Elephas maximus indicus: one gene and its partner. The protein of the gene in region 1 interacts with the protein of each later gene in a pairwise test. Links are inferred from orthologs where the notes say so. Each region holds a gene or a part of one and is shown on either strand. Other genes may lie near its edges.

What was found.
Region 2: the proteins of CCDC184 (region 1) and PBLD interact in binary tests that used the Homo sapiens proteins (3 or more experiments, as listed by UniProt). The two-hybrid records come from large-scale screens. The link is inferred for Elephas maximus indicus from reciprocal best matches to the Homo sapiens genes CCDC184 and PBLD.

The regions. Positions count from the first base shown.
Region 1 is NC_064822.1:103,055,224-103,071,007, reverse strand, and holds CCDC184 (coiled-coil domain-containing protein 184), read right to left. Parts: upstream 8,094-15,784; 5' UTR 7,596-8,093; coding exon 7,002-7,595; 3' UTR 5,801-7,001; downstream 1-5,800.
Region 2 is NC_064834.1:19,536,859-19,553,583, reverse strand, and holds the start of PBLD (phenazine biosynthesis-like domain-containing protein), read right to left. Parts: upstream 7,764-16,725; 5' UTR 7,543-7,763; intron 7,008-7,542; exon of another isoform or gene 6,805-7,007; intron 1-6,804. Other genes in the region: HNRNPH3 (heterogeneous nuclear ribonucleoprotein H3), read left to right, coding at 12,200-12,356, 12,905-13,043, 13,541-13,728, 14,178-14,264, 14,578-14,693, 15,763-15,898, 16,697-16,725.

The DNA of each region.
Region 1 (15,784 bases):
TCAGTTCCAGGCACACTTTTTTTTTTCTTCACATTTTAATACTGCCGAAATGAGATATGTCTTGTAATCCATGGCAGCTGACAATTACTGTTGGCCAGGCAGCAGTCATAGTTGTCATTGCCTACACCTGCATGAATGTAGTTGTTACTCCAGGTGGCGTGATTGGAAATCTAGAATCCCTTGATGTTTCAGTTAATCAACCATTTAGGGATTGGTTTTTAAAAAACTGAGGGAACATTGGTCTTGGTTGCCGTCTGAACACCTTCTGGCAAGATGGAAGAAGTGCCAGCACTAAAACTTGCAGAATAGATGTTATGACCTGAAAGAAATTCCAGAGACAGTAGTGGAGTACTCTTTTAAAGAAATGCTGCTTCACTAACATTCTAAATGGTTCAGAGAACAGTACTGCATGCTAAAATATGACTGTCGACAACTCTGAGTCCGGATGTGTCACGCTAACATGAACAAATTACAAGAATACCATAATGACTTTCAGTCACATTTGTGTGTGCAGTAGTGATATGATTTAAAAAATCTATTTCTAAATAAGCTTAAAAGATCTCTTTAAGTAAGAATAGAATTTTAAAATAAGTAGTAACAAGAAGTAACAAGAAGAGTACGGTTAAATTGGCAATTTTCTTTTTGGAATGGTATCTGAAATAACGATGTGTTACAGAATCAACGGCACCTTAAAGTCAGTAGGATAAAGTAGATATTTCAGAGACTATAAAAATGAGAAAGCAGTTCCAGCTCTCAAAATATTTGTAATCTGGAAGGGGAAATAATGCAAGCACATTTAGAATAACAGAAGTAAGGCAAAGTATAGCTGTTCCAAAAAGAGGCACAAACAAAAAGACGTGGAAGTTTAAAGAAGGGAGAGATTGCACCAGGAAAGGCTCCATGAAGGAGGTAGCATTTGAAAAGGGCCTAGGAGAACTGGTGGATTCCAGCTAGCAGAGATGGGATGGAGTATGAACAGTAAACAGAGTAAGCAAAGAATCAGATGCAGGAAAATGGGGGGCATTTCTAGGGAGTGGTGAGTAGCATATTTTGAGTGTGGAATGTTCATCTTGTGGCTTTACAGAACCCTTTAAGAATTTGATGAAAATTATGAATCCTAGGGGGAAAAAAAGCACAATTTCATAATCACAAAAAGTTATGCATACTGTTTCTGGGGATTGCCCATTCACAAGTAGCGTGAGAAAGGCAAAGGTGACAAGGAGGGAAGAGCAGCCTTACCAGAAAGCCCCTGAGAAGCTGGTGCAGGTGACTGAGATCGCATAAGTTCCTCTTCTGGAGGAGAAACTTGTGTCTGGCTGCACTTGAGAAGAATGACTAAGAGAAATGGAATTGAAGACCAAGGGAGATTCATCCAGACCACTTGCTCATCCCGGGATTACAGGAGCTGAGATACCCTTGGGGATCATTTCCAGCTCTGACTTGGAGGATATGGGCTTCTAAACTGGTGGGATGGTTGCTAGAAAATGTAGGGAGAAAATAAAATGTATAGGCAAAAAAAAGAAAAATAAAGGATCCCAGGGCCATATTAGGGAGGACTTTGACTCCCCTCATCCCCCAGATTTTATACTTGACTCAGGAAATACTGGCAACATGATGAAGACTTCTGAGGAGAATGAATGTCCAGAGCTCTGGCTTAGGAAGATTAATCTTCGGAATTATAGATGTGAGAGAGACTAGGGGAGATCAGTTAGGAATTTATTGCCATTGGTTTTGTGTTCTTCACAAATACATTCTGTTTTTTCAGTTTCTCCTTCTCTCCCTGCCACCCATCATTTGGCAGAAAGCCAGGCCTTTAGTAGGCATTTGGTAGTGGTTGCTCAATTGAAAGCCATAAATTTACTTTGAGAGTCCCCTTGTAATGTTCCTATTCCTCTCCAGGTGGCATCATTACAGCATCATTCACAGAGCAGGATTCCTTCTTTAAGCACAGCGCTTCCAAGCAGAAAGACTGTTTCTCTGGGGGAATGCACCTTCTGAGGACAAGTTAGAAAAGGGGAAGGAGGGGATGGCAGCTGGAATAAACAATTAAAAAATACTCTTGTCCTTTCATATCATTTCTCCCAGTAGCAGGGTATCCTGGCTAAATGCCTGTCCCTAAGCATGTAGATGGGGAAAGACACTTATGTAAACCTGCCTTTTCAGAGATGCAAGTGCTTTTCTGTCTCGCAAGAAGTATAGACTTAAATATATTTGGGGAAAAAAACTACTCCTTAGTTCTGGGAAAACTCAAGCAGAGACCATAGTCTGTGGTAATACTTTGATCATATAAAACTGCTGGTTTATATTGGAGGCCAATTTGCATCTTTTAGAAAAGTCGCTACTTCTTTAAGAGCAGATTTCAGTTGTACCAGGTTAAAGTTTTCACTTATTTCTATGAAGTTGTATGTGTTTTCAGGTAAAGATACTAAGAGATTAAGAGCCAAACACTGAGAGAGGTCCCTTAGACCAATGAGAGACAAGAAGGCCAGGAACTCAAAGAGTGGTTATGAGTAACCCTGAAACTTTGGGTGCACTGTGTCATATTCGGCTCAGACTTAAAGGGCAGCACAGTCTCACGGAGGACGCCATCTCTTCACTTGCATACATCAGCACTGCCCTGGCATACCCCAAGTACTAGCAGACTTCGAAGCAGTGGAAGTCAGGATTCTTAGCATATAGTGTCAATATAATCTGAATTTGTTGAGTAAGTGGTTAGTAATCAGATTTATGTAAAGATTGCGATTTGGTGTAGGAAATAGTCAGGAGACCCCAGGAGGCAAGGGTGCTAGGAGTATCAGCCTCAGGCAGGATCATTTCTTCCTTGGTATTTTTCAAGTTAAAAAAAAAAAACAAACTCATTACCCTTTAGCTCAGTGATTCTTACTTTGGGGGGTGGGATTTATATACCCTTTTAAGAATTAAGTGACAACAATGGAGCTTCTCTCTAGACAATGCACACTTATGAGGTTTTACATTCAATTTCAAAGGGTTATGTTCCCCTGGAGTCTAATAGTAACCCCTTCCCATGACTCTCAGGTTAGGAATCCTACCTGAAATTCACTCATCAGCAGCATTCCAAAGGAGAAACACAAGAGGAGAGTGGGGAATGGGGAGGAAGGAGGTGGAAACCAACCTGTAATGGATACCTGTGAGATACTGGTGCAGGTGACTGAAGAAAGCTGAAGAATTGCCTGTTGGGGGGATATTTTTATCTATCTGGACTTAGGGGAGACTGGATAACTAGAGACCTTCTAGGAGGCTCTGTGCTGAGATTGATGACATGTTCAGGAGAGTGGGCATAGGATGGGGCACTGAAATAAAGTCAAATGTTAGCCCTTTCTACAGAGGCTAAATGGGTAAGCTGCCATTGGGATTCAGGTCAGACTGGAGGATATGAGCTACAGGAAATGGGAAAGAGGCATAAAGATGGAGCTGTGTCAGGGAATACCTGGGAGCATCGGTTTCTTCCTCTCAAGGAGCAGGCCCAGAAGGCCGTCTTCTTGGTGCCATTATTACATTACCACCCACTGGACTCTAAGAAGAGTCACTAGCTGTTATGGATTGAATTGTGTCCCCCCAAAATGCATGTCAACTTGGCTAGGCCATGGTTTCTCCACCTTTTTGTCATCTGATGTGATTTTTCTATGTGTTGTAAATTCTACCTTTATGATGTTAATGAGGCAGGATTAGAGGCAGTTCTGTTAATGAGGTAGGACTCAAGCTACAAGATTGTGTCTTGAGTCAATCTCTTTTGAGATATAAAAGAGAAGTGAGCAGAGACAGGAGGACCTGCTACCACCAAGAAAGCAGGTCCAGGGTCCCTGCGCTGAAACGCTTCTCCACCAGGGGAAGATTGAAAACAAGGACCTTCCCCCAGAACTGACAGAGAGAAAGCCTTCCCCCAGAGCTGGTGCACTAAATTTGGATCGCTAGTCTCCTAAACTGTGAGAGAATAAATTTCTGTTTGTTAAGGCCATCCACTTGTGGTATTTCTGTTATAGCAGCACTAGATAACTAAGATACTAGCCAAAACCTAAATTGCAATTTCTCATTCCAACTGAGAAGATGAAACATGACTAAAACTAAGGTTATTTTCTTTTCAAGACTCTTTAGATTGTGGAGATAATAAATGTCCTCTGAAGATCCAAATAATAGAGCAATTAGCAGAGTGGTTACCATGTAAGGCTCTTCAAGTCAGGCAGACCTGGGTTTAAGTCCTGGCTTTACCAAGTACTAGCTGTGTGACCTTGAGCAAGTTTTGAAGGCTGTTTCTTGAACTGTTGAGTGGAAATAATAACACTGCTAACTTCATAGGGTTGTTGGGAGATAAATTTGATTATAGTACCTGGCACACAGTAAGTGCTTGTAGCTATTATTAGTTATTAGTGCTGAATACTGGAGCTATAGCAGGAAACTCTCTCTGAGTCCTCAGGGACATTTCCCCACTTACATGTTTTAGCTGCCTTCTTTACAGCCCCCAACACACATTTCCCAACCACTGCATAACTCAAGGCTTCCTCTGCTCATCCTATGTGCACAGGGCTGACCCCCAAGCTTATAGTTATATGAACATTTATGAGAAAAAAAGACCTGAGTTAGCTTAGGAATCTCACCATCCTCTTTTCCTGAATTCTCTCCTGAAGGATAAGGGTTCTTTAGGTAGGGAAAGATTATATAAAATGAAAGCTTCTAGAACCTTCCCTGGGTAGTTTTGTTTTCCCAAAGGAGTCAGTCATTGTCTCATTCCCACCCCCGAGAAATGTAGGGAAACTAACATTTGCACAAGACTTCCTAGGGGTCTTATATAGCTAATTCTCCCCAATAACTTTTTATCCCCACTTTATACATTCAAAAGCTAAGTCTCAAACAGGAAACTAAGTCTTAAGAAATTGATTCACTGTTGGAACTGAGATTCTATCCCGGATCTGTGACTCTAGTGTTCTTTCCACCTCCCTGTTCTCTCTTTCTCTCTCTCTCTCTCTCTCTCACACACACATACACACAGCATCCCAGTTCATCCTGCTCTCAAATTGCATTCCAGGGCTGCCTTGGGAAATCTCCATTGCTCAAGGGAGTGACTAGAGTTGATGTCTGCCTAAGCTCCCCAGGGAACACCACACCAGCATTCTCCACTAGAGATCTGAGGCAGTTATTGTGGTTTCCTTTGTGATATGTCACTCTGTGCCTCCCAGCAATCCCCGGCAATCCCTCCCAAACAATTAAAAAAAAAAATCAGTTTCCATGGAGTCCACTCTGGCTCATGGTAACCCCATGCGTATCACAGTAGAACTATGCTCCATGGGATTTTCAGTGGGTGATTTTTCAGAAGTATATCACCAGGCCTTTCTTTCGATGTGCCTCTGGGTGGACTCAAACCTCCAACCTTCTGGTTAGCAGTTGAGCACTAACCGTACCACCCAAGGTCTCCCCTCCTTAACCCTTCCATGGAACAAATGTCACGCCTGCCATTCCAGGATCCAGACTTGGAAATCATTTCCTAGGGGCCAGGTGCTTCACTGAAAAGAAGTCTTTAGCACATCTGAAGTTCTGGTTACTAAAAATTCTTGTTAGTTTGGGAGTCTCAACAAATATTCCCTTCTTCCCTAGTCCAACTTGAGATCAAGGTCCAGATCAGAAGGGAAAGCAGGCAAAACTGGCAGTGACTGTCCCGACCATGGTGGGTCAACTCCTTGGAACTAGAAGCAAGGAGAGAGGAGGGAAGGCAGTTCCCACTAAGCCCTGGTCCATGCAGTGGGCCCAGAAGCCCCACCCTAACATCCCTCTAGTACCAGTCAGCAAGGAGGGGAGATGACGCCTCTTTATTAAGGTTAACACCAAGGAAAGCATTGAGAAAGGGATACACAAAGGAGGGGGATGGGCACACAAAGTCACCACTTGAGGAGGCAGCAGGGAGGCACGTGAGTTAAGGAACCTCAGGACAGCCACATGCTCCATGCCCTGGTGGGGGTAGAAAGGGAGAAGGGGAAGCGCCATGACAGCTTGGGACTCAGAAGGGTCGGATGTCCCCTAAACCTAACGCCAGAGCCACAAGCCCTGCCCCTCAGGGCTCACACACTACTACACATGTGGACACACATAATACACACAAGACATCATGGAGGCAACACCGAGAGGCAGCGGGCAAGGATATTTTGGCAGCAAAAGGAACTGAAGTTAAGTGGATGTAGCCAGAAGAGAGAGAACTTTTGGCTGCGGCTCCCAAGAGTCCCTCAAACGTCCCCTAAATCTGGGCTACTGCTGAGCACCCGAGTCTCTGCCTGTGAGCTGGGTTCTTTGTTCTCTAAACCCCAGTGAGTGGAAAAGCAATCCCGGATGAAGTCAGTGACAAGGCAGGATCCGCTCTGCATGCAAAATCCTAGAGGTTGAACTATTATGTCTTCATGCACATTCACAGCCAGCTCCTCCCAGCCCAGGGGCCCTTGGAACCCCATTCACCCAGATTCCTAGGGCTGCGGTTCCCTCCTCAAGCTTCCTTTACCAATCAGGAGCCGCCGAGATCTGTGAGGGGGAGAGCCTTCTGCAGAGCACTGAATAAGTTGGGTTTCAGCAGAAGGGCAAATGTCCTGTTGCCAGAACAGAATACCCCAATTCCTTAATTTCTAGGTAAATCTTTAGAGATTATTTGCCATAGTCCTAGATAAGTCCTTTTTCAGAATAGAAAAAGCAGAATTTATTTACACAAGTCAGGGGTTCTCCTGTTGGCCGGAGAGGGGTAAGGGTAGGGTAGGGGATGGATAGGAGTCCAGAGACGGGCGCTTCCTCTCCTGGAGCCTCACCTTTCCGCCGTTTGCTACCTCTCGCTTGGTTGTGCAGAAAGAATTCTTGATGCTCCCAAAGTCCTTCACCTTACAAATCATTCCTCGGGAGTCTCTCCCTGCCTGATCTACGAGGTAGCATGCGGCACCGCGCCGTTCAGTCCTCTCACGTCATGCACTGGGAAACCCACAGCCAGCCCGGAAAGGTGCCTCTGCGGAGTCCCCTCACAGGGAGGCCTCGCCCTCCATCTGCAGAAGGGTGATGTCGGGAAGGTCGAGGGGCTCCACAAGTGGCCCGTCCCCCCCAAGGAGACCAGCGCAGGAGCTCTCGGGACGCTCACAGTGACTGGTGGGTGTGGCGGGGCTGGGCACTTCCTTCTTCTCTACTTCGTCGTCGTCGTCCTCCTCGTCCTCGGGTTCGCGACCCAGCAAGCCGCTGCCTCCGGCCCCAGGCGAAGGGTTCTCCGGCTCTTGGGGGGCGCCCGGGAAGCTCCCTTTGCCGCCGACCACGCCCAGGCCGCCCTGGCGGGGCGCCGTGGTCATAATCCGGCACATGGAGACGATGGCGCGCTGGTTGGCGCACACGTCGTCCGAGAGTACCTGGATGTGCGAAGCCTGCTCGTCCAGGGCCCCCCGCATGGCCCTCACGTCCTCAAACAGGGCCTGCAGCTGGGCCTTCAGGTGTTCCATCAGTTCCTTCATGCCGCCGTTGTACTCCCCGGCGATCACGTCCCCCACGGCCGGCACCGTGGACACCTCCAGAGGCGCCGGCATGTCGCCGCCGTCCTTGGTCATGATCTCCAGCAGACCGTCCTCCATTGAACGGCAGAAGCGGGCGGTGGCGGCTCGGGGTCCGGTCCGGCCGGGCCTCCGGGCGGGGGAAGGGCAAGGAGGGGGTCCCGGGAGGAGGCGGGGAGGAGCCCAGGGAAGAGGAGGCTCCCGAGAGGGGCGGGAAGCCGACGTAAGGATACGAGTCCTGGGCGGAGGGCACGGGCAGGCTCGGGGGAGTCCAAGGAGAAGCGGCGGGAAGAGGACCGGGCGAGGGTCCCAGTGCCGGCGTCTCTCGGGCTCGTCCCGGGGCGAAAGCTCCGCGCCCTGCCTGGGCTCCGGGGTTGCGCCCGTATCAGCGCCGCCCTCAGGGCGCCAGGAGCAGCGAGTGCCCGCCGGTTCCCTGAGTCACAAAGGCGCTCGCTGAGGGGCTCGGGCCGAGACAGAGGCCAGCAGCGCGTCCGGCTCGGGACTCCCCCCAGCCATTAACAGGCAGCGCCCGCGAGCGTGTTTGGAGCGGCTGGGGCCGACTTCCCCACTGCGCCGCGGATGCTCCTCTGTTTCCAAGGCGACGCACGGCACGTAAATGACGTATGTCTCCATAGCAACCAGGAAGTGGCGAAGAAAAAGGAACCGAGGCTCTGGAGTCGGAGCTAACGAGTGGGGCGGAAGGGAAGAGTAGAGCGCTGCAGTGGCCTCGGCGAGGCTGGAAAGAGCGTGTGGCTGCAATGTTCAATGGGGAAGCATGAGAAAGCAGTTTGCTGCGTAAACCCAAAAGCCCAGGGGGATCATCCCTTCCCCAGTCTGGGTATCAGACATTGAGTGCGACTGCCTCGGGAGCGTTCTCACCAGCGCGCATTCCCTTCCCTGAGGGATGGCGCAGAGCTGGGTCCTGCTTCTCTGTCCTCCAGCTGTCCGCAGGAACACGGAGAGGGTAGAGAGGCCCAAGCTAATCATCTGACTTGAGCTGGTGCGCCGCGGCACCCTGGATCCGGCCCCGCCAGGCTTCGGCAGGGTAGAAGGAGAGCACTACCGAGATTTCTGCCTCACACTTCGGCTTCTGCAGTAAATCAGCTGTCTTTGTAGAAAGCACAGAAACTGAGAAAGGATGGGATTCCCTTCCATGGAAGACCCAATCGCTCCTTCCCAGGTCACTAGGGTATTTTCCAGGACGGTGACGCGAAGCACTTAAGTGTTGAGAATGAAAGCTCTATGAAGAGCAGAGATTTTGCCTCTCCCTCCCACCCCCCAATCGCTGAATCCCTAGTGCCTGGAACATAGTAAGTAGGTGCTCAGTGTATTTGTTAAATGAATGCTTTAACAAGAACCACTGTGTCGTGTCCCATTCCCTCACCCAGGTGGATGTTGTTAGTTGCCATGGAGTCCATTCTGACTCATGGGCACCCCATGTGTGCAGAGTGGAACTGCTCCGTAGGGTTTTCAAGGCCGTGACGTTTTGGAAGCAGATCACCAGGCCTGTTCTCCTAGGTACCTCTGGGTGGGTTCAAAATGTCAACCTTTGGGCTAGTAGCATGCTTAACTGTGCTACCCAGGGACTCCTAGACGGAGGTTAACCAAAAACCGTGGCGTCCAACTCATTGTGATCCTATTGGACTGAGTAGAACTGTCCTATAGGGTTTCCAAAGCTGTAATCTTTACAGAAGCAGACTGCCACGTCTTTCTCCCTCAGAGCCACTGGTGGGTTGAACTACTGACCTTTGATTAGCAACAGAGCACTTAACCACTGTGTCACCAGGACTCCTAGATGAATGTTAGGAGACCTGAATTCAAGTTTTGATTCTGCTACTTATTAATTCAGAGACCTTGGCCAAATCATTTTCCTGATCTTCTAGGGGTCTGGACTGGATAATCTATAATATTATTTCTAACTCTGAGTAATGCTCTGTGTCAGCTTACGAATAAAGGCATAAACTGTTGACAGTTGTGTGGAGGGGATGGATGGGCGAACTGTGTGTGAGGATAATTTCCCCTCCCTCCACCCAGTGCAAATATACACTGAGTGTCCCAACCTTTGTGACAACCCCTTTCACTGTTTGAAAAGCCTAGTGGGAGGTGAAGATGAGGAAGAAAAAATTGGATTTAATATATTTACAGATGACAGTAAAGTGAGAAGCAGTCAGGCCCTGGGCAGCAACATACTAATTAATAATAAAACCAAAACCAAACCCACTGCCATGGAGTCACTTCTGACTCATAGAGACCCCACATGACAGAATAGAATTGCCCCCATAGGGTTTCTAAGTCTGTAAACCTTTAAGGAAGCAGACTGCCACATCTTTCTCCCATGGAGTAGCTGGTAGGTTCAAACTATCAACTTTTCAATTTGGATTCAAGTGCTTTAACCACTGTGCCACCAAGTCTCCTTAATTAAAATAAACCCAGTAAGTTGGAGAGGATCCCTGGTGGCAAAAAGGTTAAGCTCTTGGCTGGTAAACTGAAAGGTTGTCAATTCGAACCCACTCAGCTGCTCCGTAGGAGAAAGACCTGATGATCTGCTTCTGAAAAGATTACAGCCAAGAAAACCATATGGGGCAGTTCTGTTCTGTCACATGGGGTCACTATGAGTCAAAATCCACTCAGTGGCACCCAACAACAACAGTAAATTGGAGAAGCCAAGTGATCAGAAACCAAAAATGAAGTTCACAAGATCAAATAAATCTGGGGAGGAGAAACAAACAGCATCCCTTCAAGATGGGGACAAGATAGCTATGGGTGAGTGTTTTGTACACTAATGGTTCAATGAGAGCAAACTTGGTCCTTTGGGGCTTCCGTAGTGAAGAGTGGGGCCCAGAAAAACATTCATGGCACTAAAGAACTATTCGGTCTTTGCCTGTATTACTGCTATAAAGTAGAAATAAATTGGAAATATCCTAAATATCCAACAGCGGAATGTTTAAATAATCTAAAACATTGTTAATATAAAAAAGTAGTTATTAGAAACTTATTTCCTAAAACAAATATACAAAGATATAAAAGACCCATAATATTGTATTTTCTAAAACTAATGATTCAGTTGTACTGCTAGGTCTGTCCTTCCTTCATTCATTCATTCCACAAACTTGAGCACTCTCACCTTGGTTATCACTGTTGTCACAATGAGCCCCCACAGGTTAGCCCTAAAGCCCTGACTCAAAAGAGGACAGAAATGCTTTTCCTCGGTTTCCTTAAGGAAAAAGTGGACTGGTATTTACAAAAAGACTAAACAAAAAGCTATAGAAGAACTGGCAGCTGAGACAGGACACACAAAAACAGGTGAGCTTACACAGCATACGTTTCTGATCACACCACCTTGAGCTTGTTTCCAGAGCAGACATGGGGTTCAACCCTGCTGTCATCCTGCCTGGAGAGCTCTGCTATAGCCAGTAAAGCCTGGCATTGCTTTCAGGCTTTTTTCTTCAGGCTATTACTTCACATCTTTTCACCTGCACTTCAAGGGAAGGATTTCATCTTGCCAGTTCCCTCACCCTTCAGGTGGGTCCCTGCCTTCTGCCTACAAAGAGTGGCCCTCTCCCCATTATAGGCCTCCCATCTTAGCAATCCCTAAATTAAACATAGCCTCCAGGCAGTAGGAGCTGGGTTATGCCATCATATAGGCTCTTTGTCACAGTTGTTGAGTATACCATATATGTCAAGGCTTTCAGCATAGGATCACAAGATTACATCATGCTTTCCAGAGGCACTGGCCATGAAGTCTGCTGATAGAAAGGGGGTGCTGAGCCTAGAGGGAGGGGAAATTATTGGAGAAGCAAGAAAGAACATGGGAAACGCGTGCAGAGATCAAGGGGTGTGGCCGATCCAGTCAAGTTCCAGGTCAGACATTTAAGAGCCACGGGTAGGTGGGAACTGGGGGAGTGAATCAGTAGCAGGACTTGAAAATACAGGGAGGAGAACCAGATAATTTCAGAATTCTGTAGGAAAATCAGACAAGGAGGAGTAGGAGGAGGCTCTAGTCTCTGGAGAATAAGAAAAACAGAGGCAGAGAGCAAAGCAGAGACTCAGTTGGCTGGGTTACAGGACTGGGTACTCTGGATGTCATTGCCCTAAGGTTGTTGAGTGGGCCCATTCCCAAAAAAAAAGGAGGTTTAGGGACAACCTGGCCATCCCACTAGAGTATTCAGAGGGACTGACACATAGTGAGTAAAAATAAACCCTACACACTCCTCTTCTGCTTCCTGCCTTTCTCTTATCTTCTGGGAGCCGCCTTAGCTGTTCCATTCCTTCAGCCCAGTCTCATCAGCCCATGAGGGGAAGAGACCCCGTGATGCATAGATGTAGATCTCCATCAGGTACACCTAGTTCCAAACATCACATTCTCCCCAAGATTGTGATTCTAAATTGTCTCTGCCATTTTCCTCTATTCTGGTGTGTAGCTGATCTCCAGTTCGATTTTCTAAAGCTAGTGTGTCTTTTGCACTACAAATCCAACAGTCATGATGAAGCTGCTCCCTTGACTCAGACCTATAACAATTATTTAAATCAACATACAGCTGACTGCTGCATCTTAGGCCCCCAAATCCCAGGCAGTAACTCCCCCAAATTTAACTTTTATGAAGCTGAGCTGCCTTGTGGCTCATCTCAGCAAGATTTCACACCCAATAGCCAAAAATAATTAAAAAGCAATTTCAATTTTTTTATAGTCTCTGGGAAAAGTCTAATGGGGTTACATTCTCAGCACAGAGCAAAACATCTTAAATTCCTCTTCTCCCCTCCTCTATGCATTGCACGTTTTATGGCATAACTGTTGCCTCCAGTCTCTCTCCTTTTTCCTCAACACCTCAAACTTTCTCTTAATCCTAGCACTTGCTTTCTCAGTCCTTCACTCCTCTCACTTCTTGAATGTATTTTTCTCTTCTGCAAAAAGAAAGTCCTTGTCCTTCTAACATAAGGGAATCAAAGTTTGTTTCAGCTCCTTTGACTCTCTCCCTTGCTTCCCTAATCTGCACTAGTACCGAAAGCCCAACTCTTAAGGACAGGGGTCTCCTGAGACAGTAAGAGAGACTAAGAGGCTGAGAGTACTCATATTACTGGGGATTTTGTGTCACATAGACTAGGTTTTCTCAGCACCAGAAAGAGGTTTGCCTGCTGTTACGGCCAACCTGCTTTGCTCACCGCTCCCACACTGGCACAGGGTAACCAGCATGATGGTGTGCAAAGACCCTGGGCCCTCGTGAGCCTCTGACTGGGGAGGGAGCCTATCTTAGTTACCAAGTGCTGATGTAATACAAACACCACAAGTGGGCAGCTTTAAAGAACAGAAATTTTTTTTGTCACAGTACTGGAGGCTAAATGTTCAAATCAGGGTCTCAGCCGAGTCAATTCTGTCCTTGTTGGTAGCTCCAAGTGTTCAGTTCCTTGGCCATCCTCGCGTGGCATCTGTCTTCCCCAGTATGTGTGTGCCTCTGTATCTAATTTGCTCTTTTTATAACTCAGAATTAATTAGGTTTAGGATACATCCTACACTGATTGGTATGATCTCAGCTGAATTGATTGATTACATTACATTAGGTTGCATTATGAAAAGTGATTACATTACGTTGCATTGCGTTGTATTACATCCATAGGTATAGGGGTTAGGATTCCAACACATATTTTGGGGGACACAATTCAATCTTTAACAGAGCCCAACTATTCTTAAGAGTCTTAAGTGTCACAGATATGGCCATAAGGTGAGCCACAAACTCACCCCTCACTTAAGGCCTAAGATGGACTTTCATTTGCTTGTTCTGTGAACTTAAACAAAATAATAGGAATCTTTAAGGCCACCCCCTTTCTTTCTCTTCCACATTAATTTTTCTCAGATCAACAAATCCAGGGGCCCCGCAACTTCTCATGCAGCCTGAATTTCCTCTAAAAATAACCCTTCATTCCAGTCGAACCTGCTTTGCTGATGTTCATTCTATCCCCCATCTCTGCCCTGACCACTGCAATGGCTTCTCTAATGTCAGCATTTGCAGAGGCTCCTTTTTCCTCTCTCAGTGCATGTTCAATCTTCTTTCTTGCACCCTTCTGAAATGACCAATTCTAGTCCAAGGTTTGCTGGGTAAATTGGCCACAGACACAGAGGTGGTTGGAGCTCTGAAGCCACTGATGACCTTGGATGGACAGCTGCATGTCCTTCCCATCCTCTCCATATAGCTTCCTGCCCCAGAAGGCTGCCATTCTTGAAACAGCTTAGAGCATGGTTTGGCCACAAGTCAGAATCCTCATCAGGCACTGATAATGCTGAGCTACCTGAAAACATCCACAATTTCTGGTGCTACGGGGTGATTTTTCTGGACAAATTGCCTCTCTCTGATTATTAGTCCAGTTTAAAGGAAATTATGCCCAAATAGGAGTCCCTGGATTGGAAGTTCAAGCCCACCCAGAGGCACCTTAGAAGAAAGACCTGGTGATCTAATTCTGAAAAACCAGCCATTGAAAACCTTATAGAGTACAGTTCTTCTCTGACACACATGGGGTTGCCATGAGTCAAGGTTGACTCAATGGCAAGGAGTAATCTCAAGTATCTAGGGCAGGGTAGGGACTGTGGTATGTCTACCCCAGACTTCCATTTCATTAAAGGAGATTTTAGAAATTTAGTGTCCTTCAATGTTGCTTTATGCAACTTCCATGATCTCTTCTCAACTGTCATATCTTTTTTTTTCAACTGTCATATCTTGAGGAAGCCTGTGAAATTCTGCTTAGAGAAAATGCACACAAAAATTTGTAGATCTCATTCTAATACATCTAGTTATACTCTGCCCCTTTCAGAGAACCTAAAAATACTGTCAAAAGTGGTGTCTAGCACTTCCCTCTTGCTATGGGATGGTGTCCCGAGGGCCAGCAAGACACTATCAGCTGCAGTTTAGCAGTCACTGCAGGAGTATACTCCAGTGTTACTCCACAGATGCAGAAGAAGACTATGCCAGTGTCATCGACAAGGAGCCCAAAATGTAATCCACATCTTCAAAACGTTACAGCAGTGCTGGGTCTTAGGCAGAAGTGAGGAGAAGGGCCCCGTCAACCACACATTCACAGTTTAAGGGCACAAGGCCTGCATTTTTAAGGCAAAAGGACCCTACTGGAAAACCTCCAATGGCCTCCCTTTCAGAATAAGCCGTACCTGATCTGTTTCTCTCCACCCTATTCCCGTCCACCTTTTTGACTCACAGCCCACCTCTCTCTACTCCAGCCCCACCAGGCTCCTTGCTATTCCTCTGCCCTAGGTCTGTGCACATGCTGCAACCCTCTTCCCCTAGAATCTACATGCCTCCCTTCCTTCAGGTCAAACATGGCCTTATCAGTGAGGCCCCCGACCATCACCTTATACAACACAGCAGCTCCCACTCCCTTTATCCAAGAACTCTCTAATTCCATTACTTTGCTGTTATACTATATTATACTGTATTTTTTGCTTGTTTATTTATTTATTGTCTCTCATCCCCACTTAGAATGTAAGATCCATTAGGGGAGGGGTTTTGTTTTGTTCACTGCTGTATATCAAGCATCTAGAATAGTGCCTGGCACATGGTGGGTACTCAATGAATATTTGTTGAATAGATGAATTAATGAAGTCTGAATCCATATCTAGACAAAGCAGCAGCTCCCTTAAGTACATGTAGTCTGCAGAGCTCCAACTCTGCCTTCTGTTAGAGAGCAGTTAGCGTCCTGGGTTTCAGCCATCTACTTTGGTGATCTGTGGCTTCTAGTTGCACAATTAAATGCTCCATTTAGTGAATTTTCTGTTACTAATTTTAAGATTGCTAGCTGAAAGGGGATATTATTAATAGAAATAATTTTTAAATATTAATTTTTAAAGCTAGTGTTCCTCTTCCCTTTGAGTTCCTGAACTGTCAAACTGTAATAATTTAAGGCAATGTTAGCCTAGGGTACTTTTTACTATTAAAAAATTAAGACCTATTTGTCCCTTGCTTGTGCCCTTCCCTACTTCTGTCCTAAAACCAAAGCACAAAACAGAACAAAAACAAACCAAAAATTCTACACATTTGTTAAATATCTAATAAGGGATGCATAAAAATCAGTCTTTCCGGGAGAGTAAAGCCAAATTAAAACCAAACATCAGACAAGGATAAGAAAAACAGTACCCCAGGAATTGAAGTCAGTCTCTAAACAACGTAAGTAGGACAATTTCAATAAGGCTGTGTTAGTCTCCACAGTATTGTCTGGGTCTCTAAGAAGCAAGAGGGCAACTGTATGTGAAGTTCATTGCTGATGGCCCA
Region 2 (16,725 bases), on another chromosome or scaffold:
TGTATCTGCCTATATTGGAAAAACAGCAGCACGTTATATGTGAAATATTATTTATTCTGTTCAGAGATGATACATGGAATTCATATGGATTCAAGATCTCCCTGGAATAATTACTGACTCCCAACACAGGACGTAGGATACTGTACTTCCTTAAAAAATTCTATAAAATTCATTGTTAAAATGATTGTAACAGAAATGAACCGAGTTTATTAATAATGATATGACAAACTCACATGAAACAGCATAGGACTAGAATTATTATTATTTTAATTATTAATCTCTAACCTGTATATACATTTTTTTATATATATTTTTAACCTGTATATTTGGAGCCCTGGTGGCATAAAAAATAGTGGTTAATAATTTGGCTGCTAACCAAAAGGTTGGCAGTTCAAATCCACCAACCACTCCTTGGAAACCCTACAGGGCAGTTCTACTCTGTCCTATAGGATCACTATGAGTCAAAATTGACTCGATGGCACCTAACAACAACAATCTAACAAGCCATTTTATAGATTAAGAAACTGAGGTTCAGAAAGGTAAGTTAATTGTCTCAGGAACACACATCTGGTAGGTAAGTGTGAGAATGGGGTTGGAATCTAGGCCTGTCAAACTGCCTGATGATAAAGAAAATTCTAAGTTTTGCCACTGATATTCTTTGTAAATTTTGGAGCATTGCTTTCTCTCCCAATTCTATTTCTTGGTCCATAAAAAAATAACCTTGCTAGACTGTGATGAAATCAGTTACTTAAAATGATGCCGCCTCCAGTATGATCATCACTTTTGTTTGCACACTGAGCGGTATAAAACCAAATTGAACCAGTCAATTCTGACTTTATGGAAGCAGACTGCTACTGCCACATCTTTCTCCCAAGGAGCCGGAGCCATTGGTGGGTTCAAACCACCAACCTTTCGGTTAGCACCCAAGCACTTAATCACTGCGCCACCAAGGTATGTACATATAATGAAAACTATATTTCTATCTACCACTCACAATCTTAAAATTGTGTGAGGGGAAATTGTTACTCTAGTATCTATGTTTTTTCCTAAGTTATTAATACTAAAAGCTGTATAATAATTTGATTTAAATTCCTTAAGAAACTATCATTTATAGCTGTTTTTCCTGGCAGTCATGGAACAGAAAGAATTTCAATTATTTTTGAAAATTAGAGAAAGTGTGCTTTCTTCCTTTTGAGTTAGTACGATAATTATTAAAACTGAATGAGGTATTTTGGTTTCCATAGTCTGAGAATGACGTAGGTGACTTAAGGAAACAAATAAGTTTCAAGAATGTAAATTATAAAACTAAGTCTCCTTTTAAACAATTTTCAATCATCTCTAAAGACAGTAGATATATATATATATAAATCAAAGAACAAGCATCTCACAAGGTAAAAAAGGTTTAGTTGAAAAGACATTAACTACCTTTATTAGTTTTGGTCTGTTTCTAGTTTGTGTTTCATATAGGCAGAAAGGCTATTATCCAGTTTTTATATCTTCCAATGCCAGTGAGGGTATGTGAAGGAGCGCCCATCTTAAGCCATTTTTCAACGCGTCTTCCCTCCCTCGGAGGAGCAGGGTCTCTTTCAATTTGTTTCTTTTTCTTGGGCTCCGCACGGAACTTTCCTCTCTTCGTCATGCTGATGGTGTAATACATGGTCACGTGTTCGCTATCCTGTTTTCCTCTGGGTGGTGTGGGTACCTCTATTTCCTTCTCATTTTCCATCGTTTCTCTCATTCTGGCCTCTAACAAGATCCTCTCCAGGGTCCCTCTGATCTCTATGCTAATAGGAAAGCAACGAAATGACTGAAAACAAGACAAAGAGAAAAAAAAAAAAAAAGCCTAAAGCGGCTGGGAGCCTTTAGTCCTCAGCAGTCCTAACCGTCCCTATGGAAACAATCCCACAGAGATCATCAGGGAACGGTTCTACAGGGATCCCTGGAGCAAAGGTGAGCCAGTCTCACCAAGTCGTGTTTACAGGACTCAGCTTGCAAATGTCAATAGCTGATAGAAAGGTGGGTTAGTTTTTTTGTTGTTTCTAGAAAAGTACTAAAATGAGAAGCCAAATGAACACTAGATTTACCCCTACTTAGTGTACTCTTTTTTTTAACTGAAAACTTCCTACTTGCTGTAATTATAAAAAGGCAAGAGCAATGCACATGCGAATTTCAAGTCTTTCCTAAGTGTTCACGTTGCCAAATAGCACAGTGCCCAATACAAAGAAATTTTGGCCAAAAAAAAAAAAACAAACCCCACAAGGAAAGCATTGCAATTTGGTGGTGAAAAGTCATTCATACCATTAGAATGATTTTAGGATTCTGCCCCATAACAAAGAAACTATGCAGAAGGAATGCCAAATTCAATCAGGCAGTGAATAGATTATTTGAATTCAATCAAGGAGTGAAAGGGATTACAGAATTCCATCAGCCAAATCAGGCTGAAAGATTGAAAGGATAAAGTAACGACGAAGCCAGGGAAGAAGGACCTCATCTGAAGTGTGGGTGCTCAGAGTCTTATTATTAAAAAGATATGTGTGTATGGGGGGTGTTTAGAGTGTCAGTGATACCAGGATTACTGAGTTTCATGCCTGTTCAAAAACTTCCAGTCAATAAACTGGGAACTAAAGGTGCCCTGGTGGCGCAGTGGTTAAGGGTTCTGGGGCTAACCAAAAGCTCATTGGTTCAAACCCACCAGAGGCCCCTCAGGAGAAAAAAACCTGGCGATCAGCTCCCATAAAGATTTCAGCCTAGGAAACCCTATGGGGCAGTTCTACTCTGTCCTATTGAGTTGCTGTGAGTGGGAATCAGCTTGACAGCACGCAACAACAAACAGGTCTCCTGAGATGGTAATCCCAGTGTTTCTTAGCGGAAATAACTACCCCTCATTTTACGCATCAGGGCACCAATACGCAGAGTAGTAAATGGTCTGCTTTCACAAAAGGGTCAAGTTGTGTACTTTTCCTTATTCCAGCACGGAAAGTAATATCACAGTGTTTTATGACTCTGGCCCTTAGAATAACGCCCTTTGGGTCAAACGCTAGTTCTGTCTCTTAGTATCCGTGTCATCTTGGGCAACCGTTTTTCACTTCTCTGGGGCTCAGGCTTCTCGTCCGTAAAAGGAGGATAATAATAATTATCATCTTTTTGAGTTGTAAAGTCAATGAAATGAGTGCTTGAAGCAGTGCCTACCTCAAGTAAGCTCTCAATAAATGTGAACAATTGTGATTACAATATCCCAGTTTTGTTTTTCAATCTCTTGTAATTTTTTTAATCTTTTTTTTAAATTGTACTTTAGGTGAAGGTTTACAGAACGAACTAGTTTCTCATATTGTTTTAGTACACATATTGTTTTATGACATTGGTTAACAACCCTACGACATGTCAACACTCTCCCTTCTTGTCGACCTTGGGTTCCCTATTACCAGCATTGCTGTCCCCTCCTGCCTTCTAGTCCTTGCCCCTGGGCTGTTGTGCCTCTTTAGTCTCATTTTGTTTTATGCGTCTGTCTAATCTTTCACTGAGGGGTGAACCTTGGGAGTGATTTCATTACTGAGCTGAAAGGGTGTCCAGGGGTCATACTCCCGGGGTGTCTCCAGTCTCTATCAGTACAGTATGTCTGGTCTTTTATTGTGAGCTGGGATTTTGTTCTACATTTTTCTCCAGCTCTGTCCGGGACCCTCTGTTGTGAGCCCCGTCAGAGCAGTCAGTGGTGGTAGACAGGCACCATCTAGCTGTATTGGACTCAGTCTGGTGGAGGCCATAATAGATGTGGTCCATTAGTCCTTTGGACTAATCTTTCCTTTCTATATTTAGTTTTCTTCATTCTGTCTTGCTCCCAAAGGGGTGAGACCAGTGGAGTATCTTAAAAGCTACTCACAGGCTTTGAAGACCCCAGACGCTACTCACCAAAGTAGAATGTAGGACATTTTCTTCATAAACATGATATTAAGCCAACTGAGCTACATGTTCCCAAAGACCATGGTCCCTACAGCCCTCAGCCCAGCAATTCGGTCCCTCAGGGAGTTTGGATTTGTCTGTGGAGCTTCCATGACCTTGCCTTGGACAAGTTGTGCTGGCTTCTGCAGTAATGTGTACTGTTTTACCCTTCACCAAAGTTACCATTTATCTGTTATCTATTTAATGTTTTTCCATCCCCACCCTTCACCTCACTCGTAACCATCCAAGATTGTTTCTTTTTGTATGTAAACTTTTTGTGAATTTTGACAGTAGTGGTTTCATACAATATTTGTCCTTTTGTGATTGACTTATTTCACTCAACATAATACCCTCCAGATTCATCCATGTTGTGAGATGCTTCACAGATTCATCATTGTTCTTTATTGTTGGGTAGTACTCCATTGTGTTTATGTACCGTAGTTTATCCATTCATCTGTTGATGGGCAATTAGGTTGTTTCCATCTTTTTGCTATTGTGAACAATGCTGCAATGAACATGGGTTTGTGTACATCTATTCGTGTGACAACTCTCATTTCTCTAGGATATATTCCTAGGAGAATTTCTGGATCATTTCTAGCTTTCTAAGGAAGCACCATATCATTTCCCAAAATGGTTGTATCATTTTGCATTCCCACCAGCAGTGCTTAAGAGTTCCAGTCTCCCTGCAGCCTCTCCAACATTTGTTATTTTCTGTTTTTTTTTATTCTTGCCAGTAATGCTGGGGTGAGATGGAATTTCATTGTAGTTTTGATTTGTATTTCTCTAATGGCTGGCGATCGCAAACATCTCCTCAAGTGTCTATTGGCCACTTGAATGGTGAAGTGTCTGTTCATTACCTTTGCCCATTTTTTAAATGGATTATTTGTCTTTTTATTTTAGAGGTGTTGGATTTTCTTATAGATTTTAGTGATTAAACCTTTGTCTGATTTTTAAGAGTCAAAATTTTTTTCCCAGTCTGTAGGTTCTCTTTTTATTCTTTTGGTGAAGTCTTTAGATGAGCATAAGTGTTTAATTTTTAGGTCCCAGTTATCTAATCTTCTGGAATTTGTGTGTTGTTGGTTATGGCTTGTATCCTGTTAATGACGTGTATTGGGGAAACCCTGGTGGCAGAGTGGTTAAGCGCTCTGGCTGCTAACTGAGACGTTAGCAGTTCGAATCCACCAGGCATTGCTTGGGAACTCTATGGGGCAGTTGTGCTCTGTTCTATAGGGTCACGATGAGTCAGAATCGACTCGACAGCAATGGGTTTGGGGGTTTTTTTTTGGGTAATGATGATCCCACTGCCCTTTCTCTGCTTCCCCTAAGGCTAAGGGGTATTTTGAAGGAGCGGGCTCAAGGAAGGCAGCAGGGCAGTATGGCCCGGACAATTCTTGCTGCCCCATACTTGTCTTAAGCAACTTTGAGGATGAATTAAGGTCATGAAACGGAAGTTCCATTATGGGAAGTTAAATGGCCTCATGTCTGTATCCTACACACTGCAGATATCACAGGGGAAAAATTGTTCATGCTTTTCTACTACTAACACCACTGGAGCTCTCTCCCACACTCTCACACCCATGGGCTCCCAAATGTTTGTAGCACCAAGTCCAAAATCTTTTGGCTGGACATTGAAAGTTGTCTACAGCCTAGGTTCTTCCACATTTCCAACCTTAACTCACCCTACAGAAACACTTAGCCGCGGACAAACTGACCTCTCTCGCACTTCAAGTTTCTACCTTTGCACTTTAATTTGCATTGATCTCCTTATTAGGATTGCCGTCCACCCCTACCACAGAAATTAGTCTTGCATCTTTTGTGAAACTTACAAAAAGGCCATAAGGTATCATTAAGAACCTTAGTGACATGACTTCTTGTTGTTGGTTGGCATCAAGTGGATTCCAATTCTTGGTGACCCATGTGTGCAGAGTAGAACTGCTCCACAGGGTTTTCAAGGCTGTGACCTTTTCCATGCAGATCCCTAGGCCTGCCTTCCAAAACACCTGTGGCTGGGTTCAAACCGCCAACCTTTTGGTTAGTAGTCAAGCGGTTAACCATTTGTGCCATGCAGGAACTTCTGGTGGCATAGCAGCACAATTAAAAAGTGAGTATTAGGTGCCATCTGTACTGGCAATGCTGAAAAATACAAAGCTGGGTTTACAAAAAACTTTAAGTCGGCTGCCATAACTGGGAAATAAAAGTGGGGAAGATAAAAAGAAGATAACATGAAGGAGAGTGAAGAAAGATTTGTAGAAAGAAGGGAAATAAGGCAGAGAGAAAATCGATCAGGTAGCACTAAGGTGAGAGCTGGCTGCCAGGTGGCCCAGGCCCGGTTGGGGAGATTGGGGGACTGTGGTGCCAGCAGCTCCACTGGGAGGCTCCCCAGCCCGAGCGCGTATATTGGTGGACGCCTTTTTATCTCCGAAGCAGAGAAATGCTCCATTTTTATTGCATAATGCAAATATGGTGGACAAGAAAAGCCCTCCCTGCGTTTGACGGCCAAACCACGTGGCACCCTTCCCAAGAAGGTGACACTGGGGTTAGGAGCCTTTAGGGAATTTGTTCACGGTGGGCAGAGCACGGTTCCTTCAGAACACACTGGCAGGACTACTACTACCACTTCACATCCTCCCCGAAAAGGCAAATGATGGTCCCTGCCGCCGATGGTTTCACGATAACCACGACAAAACGAGTCCGTCGCCGCTTTTCCTCTAACCGTACCAGCCTCTTTTCTCCACCTCGCTCCAGAACACTAGCCAGCTCGCCAGCGCGCAAGCGCACTACTTGCTGCCGCGCCACGACAGGGCGGAGTCTCTTCTCTCGCGAGAGTGGGGCCGGCCGCTCTCCGTGGCTCTCGCTCCACCCCCTCCTCCTCGCTCGCTCGCTCCCATCCCCCCAACCAGTCGCTGTACTGCGCAGCTCCCTCAGCGGTTGCTACCGCTGGGGACGGTTGGAAGGACCGTTGCGGGGAGCGCTACGCGAGTCGAGCGGCTTCTCCTTCCTCACGGCCGCACCCCGTGGGCACCGGAGCCGGCGTTACTGTCTCCCGACAGGGTATCTGAAGTAAAAAGGGGGTAGGTTGGGCTGGTGGTTTTGAGAGCGGAGTCGGGAGAAGGACGAAAGAGAGACCGAGAGGGGGTGGGGTGGGGTGGGGGGAAGTGGGGAGGTCGCCGCTCGGAGGCAGCCGGGCTGTGCCTCCCGGGCGATCTCCCACTTCAAGGAGGACGGCCTGCTGCAGGGAGGTCTTGCTCAGGTGGAATTCAGTGGACGAAGCCGAAGACCGAAGTGGGGAGCACCCAACATTTTCCCTCTTTTTTTCCCCGTTGGCTTGGCCTCCGCCATTTTGAGTACGGTGGCGCGGCCATCCGGGCTTCCCGCCTTTCCCCGCTATTTCTGCTTTTTGGCCCCCAGCTTCCGAAAACTGGTTTAGAAAGCCGGGGGTCAGAGTGCTCTGGAGGGAATGAGGGTGGGGAGTGAAACGAGCAGGGAAAGGCCGGGCGCTCGGGCGGGTTCGATCAGGGTTATCGGACGCGCTCCCAGTGGAAATGGCGTCGGACGGGCCTGGCCTCCCACCCGGCCTCCCTTCCTCCGCAGTCTAGGCTGGGCTACCTGGGCTGGCGGGACTGCGAGTGACTTCTGACGCAGATTCCCAAGATGAAAGGCTGGAACCGGGGGAGGAAAACCAATGGCGACGAAGGCGCGCGCTCAACTCCCAAATCCAGGACAAAGGAGGGCCTCCTTTGTAATTCCGCCGCCCGGTGGCGAAGGTCTTTAAGCCAGGCTTGGCTGCCGGGCGGGGAGGGGGAAGGGGCGTCCTCTGCTTAGCGTTTTGGTCCCTAGGGCAGCTAGCTAAACGCAGAGTCTCCGGGAAGGGATAAAGGACGCTTAGCCGGCCCTTATATTCCAGGTTTGGAACTTCGGAAAGAGTACGTACTCGTTTTTCAAGGGGGAGGTTTTCACACTTACTTTTAACTTGAAAAAAAAAAAAAATGGGTAATCATTTAGTAATCAGAAAAATGGGTAACTTCTCAAACAGGAATGTGGTATAGGCATATTTCAAATAGGTTGTCCAGGCGCAGTGAACTGTTAGGGCTACTTGAACTTTTAGGTTGGGGTGGGGTGGTTTAGCACACACGGGTTTAAGTGGGAGCATTTTAGAAGACACATGGTGATAACAGTTACCTGTACAAATCGAGTTACTAATTTGTACCGAAAGATTTCCAAGGAATGTACCTTGTGCATAGATTTTTCCCCTCTTTGGCAGTGAAGCTAGAAGTAAAATATTTCAGAATACACTTCGGGTTTAATTTCTTTTGGCAGCTAATCATGTTTTTTCTTTAGTGTAGGAGTATAGTAATATTCTGGCCAGGGAAAAAAGCCTACTAAATAGAAAGTCAAACTGTAAGCTCAGTCGTGGTGGTGGTGGTTTTTGGTTCTGAGAACAGAGAACTGGATGGATAATTTTCACTAAAGACAGTAAAAGAGCGGGGAAGGCCTGAGAATAAGAGTTTTTAATAATCTGTGTAAATCTTTCTAAGAAATCTGTTATGTACTTTTTTTAGCTTAAAGAAAATCTTGCTGCCTATATTGTTGAAGATGGACTGTGATGCTTGGTCAATATTTGCCAAAGAAAAGTTTACTAAAATCCTGCCTTGAAACAGGTTTTAGTGGATTTTGAAAAGTCGGACCAGGGTTTCATGTTAAGGAGTATATGACATCATTTAACAGCTTTTCTAATTAGATGTTTTTTTCTGCCCTGTTTTTCATCAGCATCATTATCTGAACTCCATATAATTCTTCCCCCCCCCCAATAACTTTATTTTTGGTAAATAATTACTTGTTTTGGGAAGCAGTCACTGAACTGCAGTAGGTCACAGCTTTGCTCTAGTAAGTCATTCACAATCATTGTAAACAGCTCACATCTTCAGATATTGGTGGTGCATCTAAATATTTAAAATCAAGAAACAAGCCTGTTGGAAAGGGGGAATGGTGTAAAATTTTCAGTTTAGTTAAACTTAACACCTTTTTTTTTTTTTCCAAAACAAAGTTTAGAAAGTTATTTATTGAGGCAATAAGTCTTTATTTCATTTATTGTATTACAGAGGACACAATATGCCCCTATGTTATAAAGTAATGCTATATTATACTTTTTTTCTTTAAGAGTTTTTTGAGAAAATTGACATACTCTAAAATTCGCTCGTTTAAAATGTACAATTCGGTGGTTTTTAGGATATTCACAGAGTTGTGAAACCACTAAAGTCTAATTTTAAAACATTTTTATCACCCCCAAAGGAAACTCCCATGCCCATTAGCAGTCATTCCCCTGTCCCGCGCCCTCCCTTTGCTCCCCGCCTGACCTGACCCCCCCCCCCCCCCCAGCACAACTCTTGCCTCTGAAGATTTGCCTATTCTGGACACTTCATGTAAATGGATTCACACTACGTGGTCTTTTGTGATTGGCTGCTTTCACATATAGCATGTTTGAAAAGCTATATCTAAAGTTTCATAAAATTGCTAAAAGTCATCCTTTCAGGTTTAACTGCTGGTGTTTTTAATTGGTGGTAGCATTTGGAATTCTTAAAAGCATGATAGTAATTAGCCATGACACTGGTGCAAAGAAAGGTTGAGATGGATTATCCTGTATAAGTAGTAAACCCAGGTAGTTTCTCAGACAGCTTTAATGTGTTAGAGCAGATTGCTTTTTTGTATGGCTTTAGTTTGTCTTTTTTTTTTTTTTTAAGTAGAATTCTAGACTCTTAAATTTTTAATCGACTTTGAAGGGTTAATGCATGGGGCTGTCTTTATTAACACCGTTTAGTGTGTACTCTTCACACATGGGGTGGAGAATCACCGTACAAAATAGTTTAAATCTTCAGAATCTGGTTCAGGTTTCCCCAATTTAAAATTGTGTTGCTGGATTTTAGATGTGTTGACTGTACGATGTACCCCTTTGTAAAAGAAAAAGAACGAACTCTCCACCCCAGTTAGCTATTTTTAGTTTAGTGTGTTTTTTCTATTTTCTGGTCTTTGTTTTTACTCGAAGGCACTGGGTTTTTCACTGGGTTGTGTTTTTATGTATATAGGTCTTCTCATTGGTACAGGCTGATCCAAAAATCAAAACTAGCTTCTTTGCTAGTATTTCTTGGTGCTAAGATTTATAGCAAAAACAACCTAATTTTCCTTTTTTTGTTACTTGTTCCTGAAAGAGTACATTGAAAAAAATGTGGTAAGAGATGATAAAAAGCACCATACTAAAGTCTTCACAATAGATTGGATTGACTGCACAATAAATTTTTCATGAGGAACATTTGACTTTAGGTCCTCCACTTTTTCCCTCTTCTGTTCTTAAACGACCCTTTATAGGAGACACACACACTTAAGAATTGTTAGAGATTTCTAAATGTTTCTGATTGAACTTTTTTTCGAATTGATTCGGGGCCTACTCCAGAACAGTATTTTTTAAACTTTCTAGTTAACGTATGTATTGTGGTAAATGTTTTGCACACACCCCTTCATACAGTTCCTAAAGAAACTTAAAAACTTAGTTTTTACATGGCAAAACTTTTGTTGACTTTGGAAAAAATGAGGATAATTGTTTTTTTAACAGTCTTTATTTCCTTGCAAGAGTCAGAATAGCTTTCTCTCTTAAGGTTCAGATATCTTGTTTATGGTATATCTCATCAGTTTTGCAGGGCCACATAAGGTCCAGTAACAATGGCCACCATTGAATACACTTACAGTGTGGCACAACAAGCACTTTAAACAATTCTTTTAACAGGTGAGGCGTAGGCAGTACTTTTGTTTTACGGTTGAGAACAGAGGTTCCTCAGGGGTTAAGTAGTTTGCTTAATTAAGTAAATCCAGTGAGTGGAAGAGTAGGGATTCAAAGCCAGGGTTTCTCACTCTTAAAAGTTCATACCGTATGTTTGTGTGTGCAAGAATTAGTTGTAACACCAGTTAAAAATTTCACTTCCTCCCATTTTGATTCTCTGTGTTTAGAGTGGCACTTAGAGCTCTTGCTTTAAGAAACAAAACATTGAAGAGGAGATTCATGTGCAGAAATACTTGATTAATAATAACATTTGGAGAATTTCTGCATTAGCATATTTTAGGTGTGTAAATACTGGGAAAAGGAAATTTTACTCTTCGGAGGTGCTACCCCTAACTTTTGCACAGATAATTAGATGATGTGACATTACGTATTAATGAATATTATTGATATGAAATACAATTTTCAAGCATAAAGGAGTCAAGTGAACAAATTGTTTTGTTTACAGGGGAGGAGGTGGTGAGGGAAAGGTTTGAAATACTCAGGTGAGTAGGATTCCTACAGCTGCTTAGTGAAATTTGTATGGCTCTGGTAAGTTTCTGCAGCTGAAGGACTTCTGCATTAACCAAAAGCCTCTTGAAAATATTTGGGAATTTTAAAAGCAGAGATGGTTGCTCCAAGGAACTGGGTGGGTGGGTTCATATTGGAGGGAAGGGGGGTCGTCTTACTGTATGTGCCCTTCCACTTTTTGAATGTGAATGTTACTTTTTAAAAAAAAAAAAAACTTTTGTGTTGACTTAAAAGTAAAGCAATGATGGTCTTGTTTCTGTATACTAGCCCCAGTGGTTGCAAAAACAGTAAGACTGTTGGAAGTTATTAACTCAGTCACTTTTAAGCTGTTGCTCCTGGGGAGTGTTTAATCTAGAATTGGTTAAAATAGAGGTGGAAATCTCCCCCCACAAAAAAAAGCAATTTAATATGTTCAGATTTAAGGCCAGAATTAACTTCAAGCTTCTGTAATACCATTTTTTTCCCGACATCAAAGAAGTACTCCTTCTATTTTTGATTTACATTCTTAATGCGAGTGGACAGTGGTACTACAGACAGCTTCTGAATGAATTCAAATTTTAAAGAATTTGCATAACTATTCAGGTAAATAATGAAATCTGAAGAAATACGAAAGTTTGACAGGAGGAAAACGTTTGACATTAAGATGACAGGTCACGAACTAGGCGGAGGGTTTGAAGACAGTGGAATTTTGTAAGTTTTCTTAAAACAAGGCAATATATATTTGGTCCTTAGAGATTCAGTACTTTTTAGGGGTGATTGATGAGGTTTCACTGCCTTTTTCCAATCTTCTGTCTAGCCCGAAATAGAAAGCTGTTGTACATTGTGTTGTGGCATTATAGTAGGAGTCACTTATATTTCCTGTTGTGACACCACTGAGAGGTGTTTCTTCAGTACCTCTGGCAAGAGTATGTTTTGATTGACTACTTTATGTGCTTGTTTATTTTTGTAGCATTTATATCAAACGGTTTTGAGATGGATTGGGTTATGAAACATAATGGTCCAAATGACGCTAGTGATGGGACAGTACGACTTCGTGGACTGCCATTTGGTTGCAGCAAAGAGGAAATAGTTCAGTTCTTTCAAGGTACCTCTAGTATTAGTCAAAGTTTAGTAGTATTTTAATTTTATATTTGATTTATGTTGTTATTCAGCTTTTCATTTGTAAAACCCATTTGTTTTTGGAACCTTTTAGTTTTAATGATGATATCTCGGTGAATGTTTTAAACTATGAAGTGTGCTCCAGTTAATATTTCAATGCAGAATGTATAGAATGTATAAGAACTGATACCCAGTAAACTTAATTGAGAGTAATTATGTGTGATGAAATGAACCATGAATTAGCATATGGAGCATAGTTAAATTTGATTTATAGCCATTTCTTCTTTTTTTTTTTAATGTAATATAGGTGGGCTGAGAGTGTGTATGTAATTTAAAAAGACACTGGTCGCAAAGAAAATTATTTAATCCAATAATATATGAAAAAAATCTTCCATTTGTATTATGGGGTGATGGGAAACTAAGCTTTTTTTGTTTTGTTTTGTTTAGACTTGTTTTAAATATTTGATACAGATGGGAATGTTTCAGCCTTTAACACTGTTCCCCTTGATGGGGTTATTTGTCCTTGGGTTAAAGGGTTGGAAATCGTGCCAAATGGGATAACATTGACGATGGACTACCAGGGGAGAAGCACAGGGGAGGCCTTCGTGCAGTTTGCTTCAAAGGAGATAGCAGAAAATGCTCTGGGGAAACACAAGGAAAGAATAGGGCACAGGTGGGGATGGAGAGTTCGGGATGGTGTTAAATTTTTATTTTTGGGGGTTGTGGGTCACTTTATTAAATGGGGGGGTAACCATAACATTTTTCTGGGATAGTTTAAAAGAATTGATAATTTATCTAAATTTAACTTGGAAACTACAGATGTGGGTGGGGAATTAATGCTAAGTTTACTTAAAATTAGATTGTTCCCATTTTTCTGTAGGATGTTGTTGATAAATGCTTTTGCGTAATCACCTATTTTCTTTAAACACCTATCATGTACTAAAGAAAACAAATTATATTTTATGGATTCTTTTCAAACAACTAATTTATCTTAGTAAAACTTAAATATTTAAGTTTGTAGGTATAAAAAATGTTAACTTACGGTGTATTTAGGCAATTTAAATTGGGTTATGTAACTAGATGTAGACAAACTTACTGCATTTTGCCCAATATCTTGTTTACTCTAATACATTTGTGCTGAAACCTGTACCTTAAAACATTTTTAAATAGGTATATTGAGATCTTCAGAAGTAGCAGGAGTGAAATCAAAGGATTTTATGACCCACCAAGAAGATTGCTGGGACAGCAGCGGCCAGGACCATATGATAGACCAATAGGAGGAAGAGGGGGTTATTATGGAGCTGGGCGTGGAAGTATGTATGACAGAATGCGACGAGGAGGTGATGGATATGATGGTGGTATGTGTAGCTAATGAACAAAGGTTCTGTTGTCATTTTCTTAATATTCCTGACACTTTGTCAAGAAATACAGAAATGGCAGTCATTCCAGTACCTACTAGGTTTTAAAACCTGTTCATGAAAAAATGGATTCCCATGGCCACCTGTGGGATGTGATTGATGCACGTATTGGCACCTTGATAACTCATTCAGATAAAGAAGTTGAGACATTTGAAATATTTTGACATTTTCTATTTGGCATCAGGATGATTACTTGGCACGTCTGAATTTATCCTTTTGGGGTTTTTAATTTCCACCAGATGTTAACTGTTTTTCTCGTGTGTATTAAGAGTTGCAAACTTATGACCTAAGTGTATATTTTAAAACATACAAAGTATGTTTTTATAAACTAGATTATAAAAATCTATCTCTTCAAAGTGTATTCATGTATTTCTCCTTAAATTGCACAGGTTATGGAGGTTTTGATGACTATGGTGGCTATAATAATTATGGCTATGGAAATGATGGCTTTGATGAAAGAATGAGAGATGGAAGAGGTAAAATAAATGTTAAAAGACATTTTCATTTTGCCATAAATTTTAATATTTGCAACCAGTAAGTGGTAATTAAAAAAAAGTCAATTCAGGCATATTTCACTTCATTCCTGTATAGGGCTTTATACCTTCGATAGTTCTTGATGTGTACTTTCAGACAGATTCTCCGTTTGATGCTTAAAATAACTAAGTGATAAGATTTCTTGAATTGTCAAAGAAAAGGGTGTGTGTAGGGGAGAAGTGTTGTATTTTATTAAAATGCTCTCTTTGCTATATGTGTCAGCATTTTATAACTTTCAGAAACTTCATTCTCCAGGTATGGGAGGACATGGTTACGGTGGAGCTGGTGATGCAAGTTCCGGTTTTCATGGTGGTCATTTTGTACATATGAGAGGGTTGCCTTTTCGTGCAACTGAAAACGACATTGCTAATGTAAGTGATTTTTACTGGTTTTATAGTTATTCTGGTGTCCAAATTTTGAAGCATTCTTAATGGAAGTCTTCCTCTGTAGTTTAATGTCAAAATCTCTTGAATATAAAAATATATCTATCTTATTTTCAGTAGTTGATGAATATTTTTATGTCCATTTTGTGCCAGCCTACACAGGATTCGAGCAAGTGAAGGCTAAATTCATAAAGTCCATTTAAGAATATAGTGAAAGAATGATCAGCACAGGGTGGTGATGATTCAAAGCTTATTTCCTTTGTTTCCTCAGGTTAGAAAGTGTGAATATGTAGTAAGTCTATAGTTTCATTGGTTTGGATTGGCTTTTTAGGCTAGAAATTGGTTAGAAATTCGAGCAGCTGGAAATAATAGGAGTAAATACTGCAGCTATCTTTGATTTGAAACTAGTTGCTATACTTGAGCCCATGGGCCAAATACAATCATGCTCATTTGTTTACCTGTTGAGTAGTTGTGATAGAGATCCGTTGGCCCACAAAGCTAAAGATATTTACTGTCTGGCTCATGCAGAAAAAAATTTGCTCTTGATTGTATTGAGAAGCAGATGGCCTAATTTCTAAGTGCTTTTTAAGGATAGTGTAAACCTAATTAACTTGAGATTGGAATTTAATGATGTTTTGGACATTACTCATGCAGTTCATAGGTTTATCAAACCCCATTCTTCAGAATCATGATACACAGTGTCTCTGTGCATGTTTTCCATGTCTCAGGTGACCTATATATTTAAAATAGCAATTTTTAAATACATATCTTGGTCATGGCATGGGGCTTTACTCTCAGCAGTAGGCTATCAGATTTTTTCATCTGTTGAAGGTAAACTGATTTTCAAGGTTAGGTATTTTCATTTTAAATTAAATACATTATTTTGAAAGGGGTAATTTTCCCTAAGTGTGTAGTCTTACATTCCCAGAACCTCTGTAGTTCATGCAGTTAGACTACCAACACGGGAGTGGGAGGGTTTTGTTGCAAAACCAAGGTATGTGGTAATTTACTTTTCGAAAATCTGAATAAAAAGAAAATAATGTTTTGTTTTATTCAGTTCTTCTCACCACTAAACCCAATACGAGTTCATATTGATATTGGAGCTGATGGCAGAGCAACAGGAGAGGCAGATGTAGAGTTTGTGACACATGAAGATGCAGTAGCTGCCATGTCTAAAGACAAAAATAACATGCGTAAGTGGTATCCTTGGCATGCTGTCTGACTTGATTCATAAATGTGAACTCCCTTACAGAATAAGTATCTCTTACTAAGTGAAGAGGCCCTAGGGTATATAGGTAACTTCTGGCAGTCACTGGGACCTAAAACCATATAGACTTTAATGGATTCCTAGGGACTTTTTTCATTGGATTAATCTCTTATATTAAGAATAGCTGTCGATACAGCTAAGAGATAAATTTTGAAAAGAATTGATTCAGACTCTTAATACTTGATAGATCATTGGAGCTCGGATTAACTAAAAGGGAGAAAAAGGCGTGTTAATTTACATTTGCCTAAGTTTCCATGTCCTCAATTAAGCACATTAATACCATTTAAGGTCCATTTGCCAGCTTGGGTAGGTCCTGCATGTCATCAGATTTGTTTCTGTGCCAGTAAATCTTACCTGATTCCCAGATATTACTACCTATCAATCATTTGGTACTTGTTAAACTGTTCTGGGGTATACCCTCAAGATTCTAATTCAGTTCTATAATTGGGCCTGGAATATATTTTTAAGAAGTACCCCCCCCCCCCCAGGTGATTCTGAATTAACTATTTTATAGATGAGGAAACTGAGGCCCAAACGTTGTTGCTTGTTCAAGGTTGTACAGTTTCAGTGAGACCTGGATTTTAGCCCTATTATCACCCCACTAGAAATTGGCAAGTATACTTTTAGTTTAATATTAGCTAATCAGCATTTTTGCACTTTTCTTGATAAATCTGATCCATTGTTCTTCTCTCCCCTACTACTTTTTTTTTTTTTTTTTTTAAAGAACATCGATACATTGAACTCTTCTTGAAT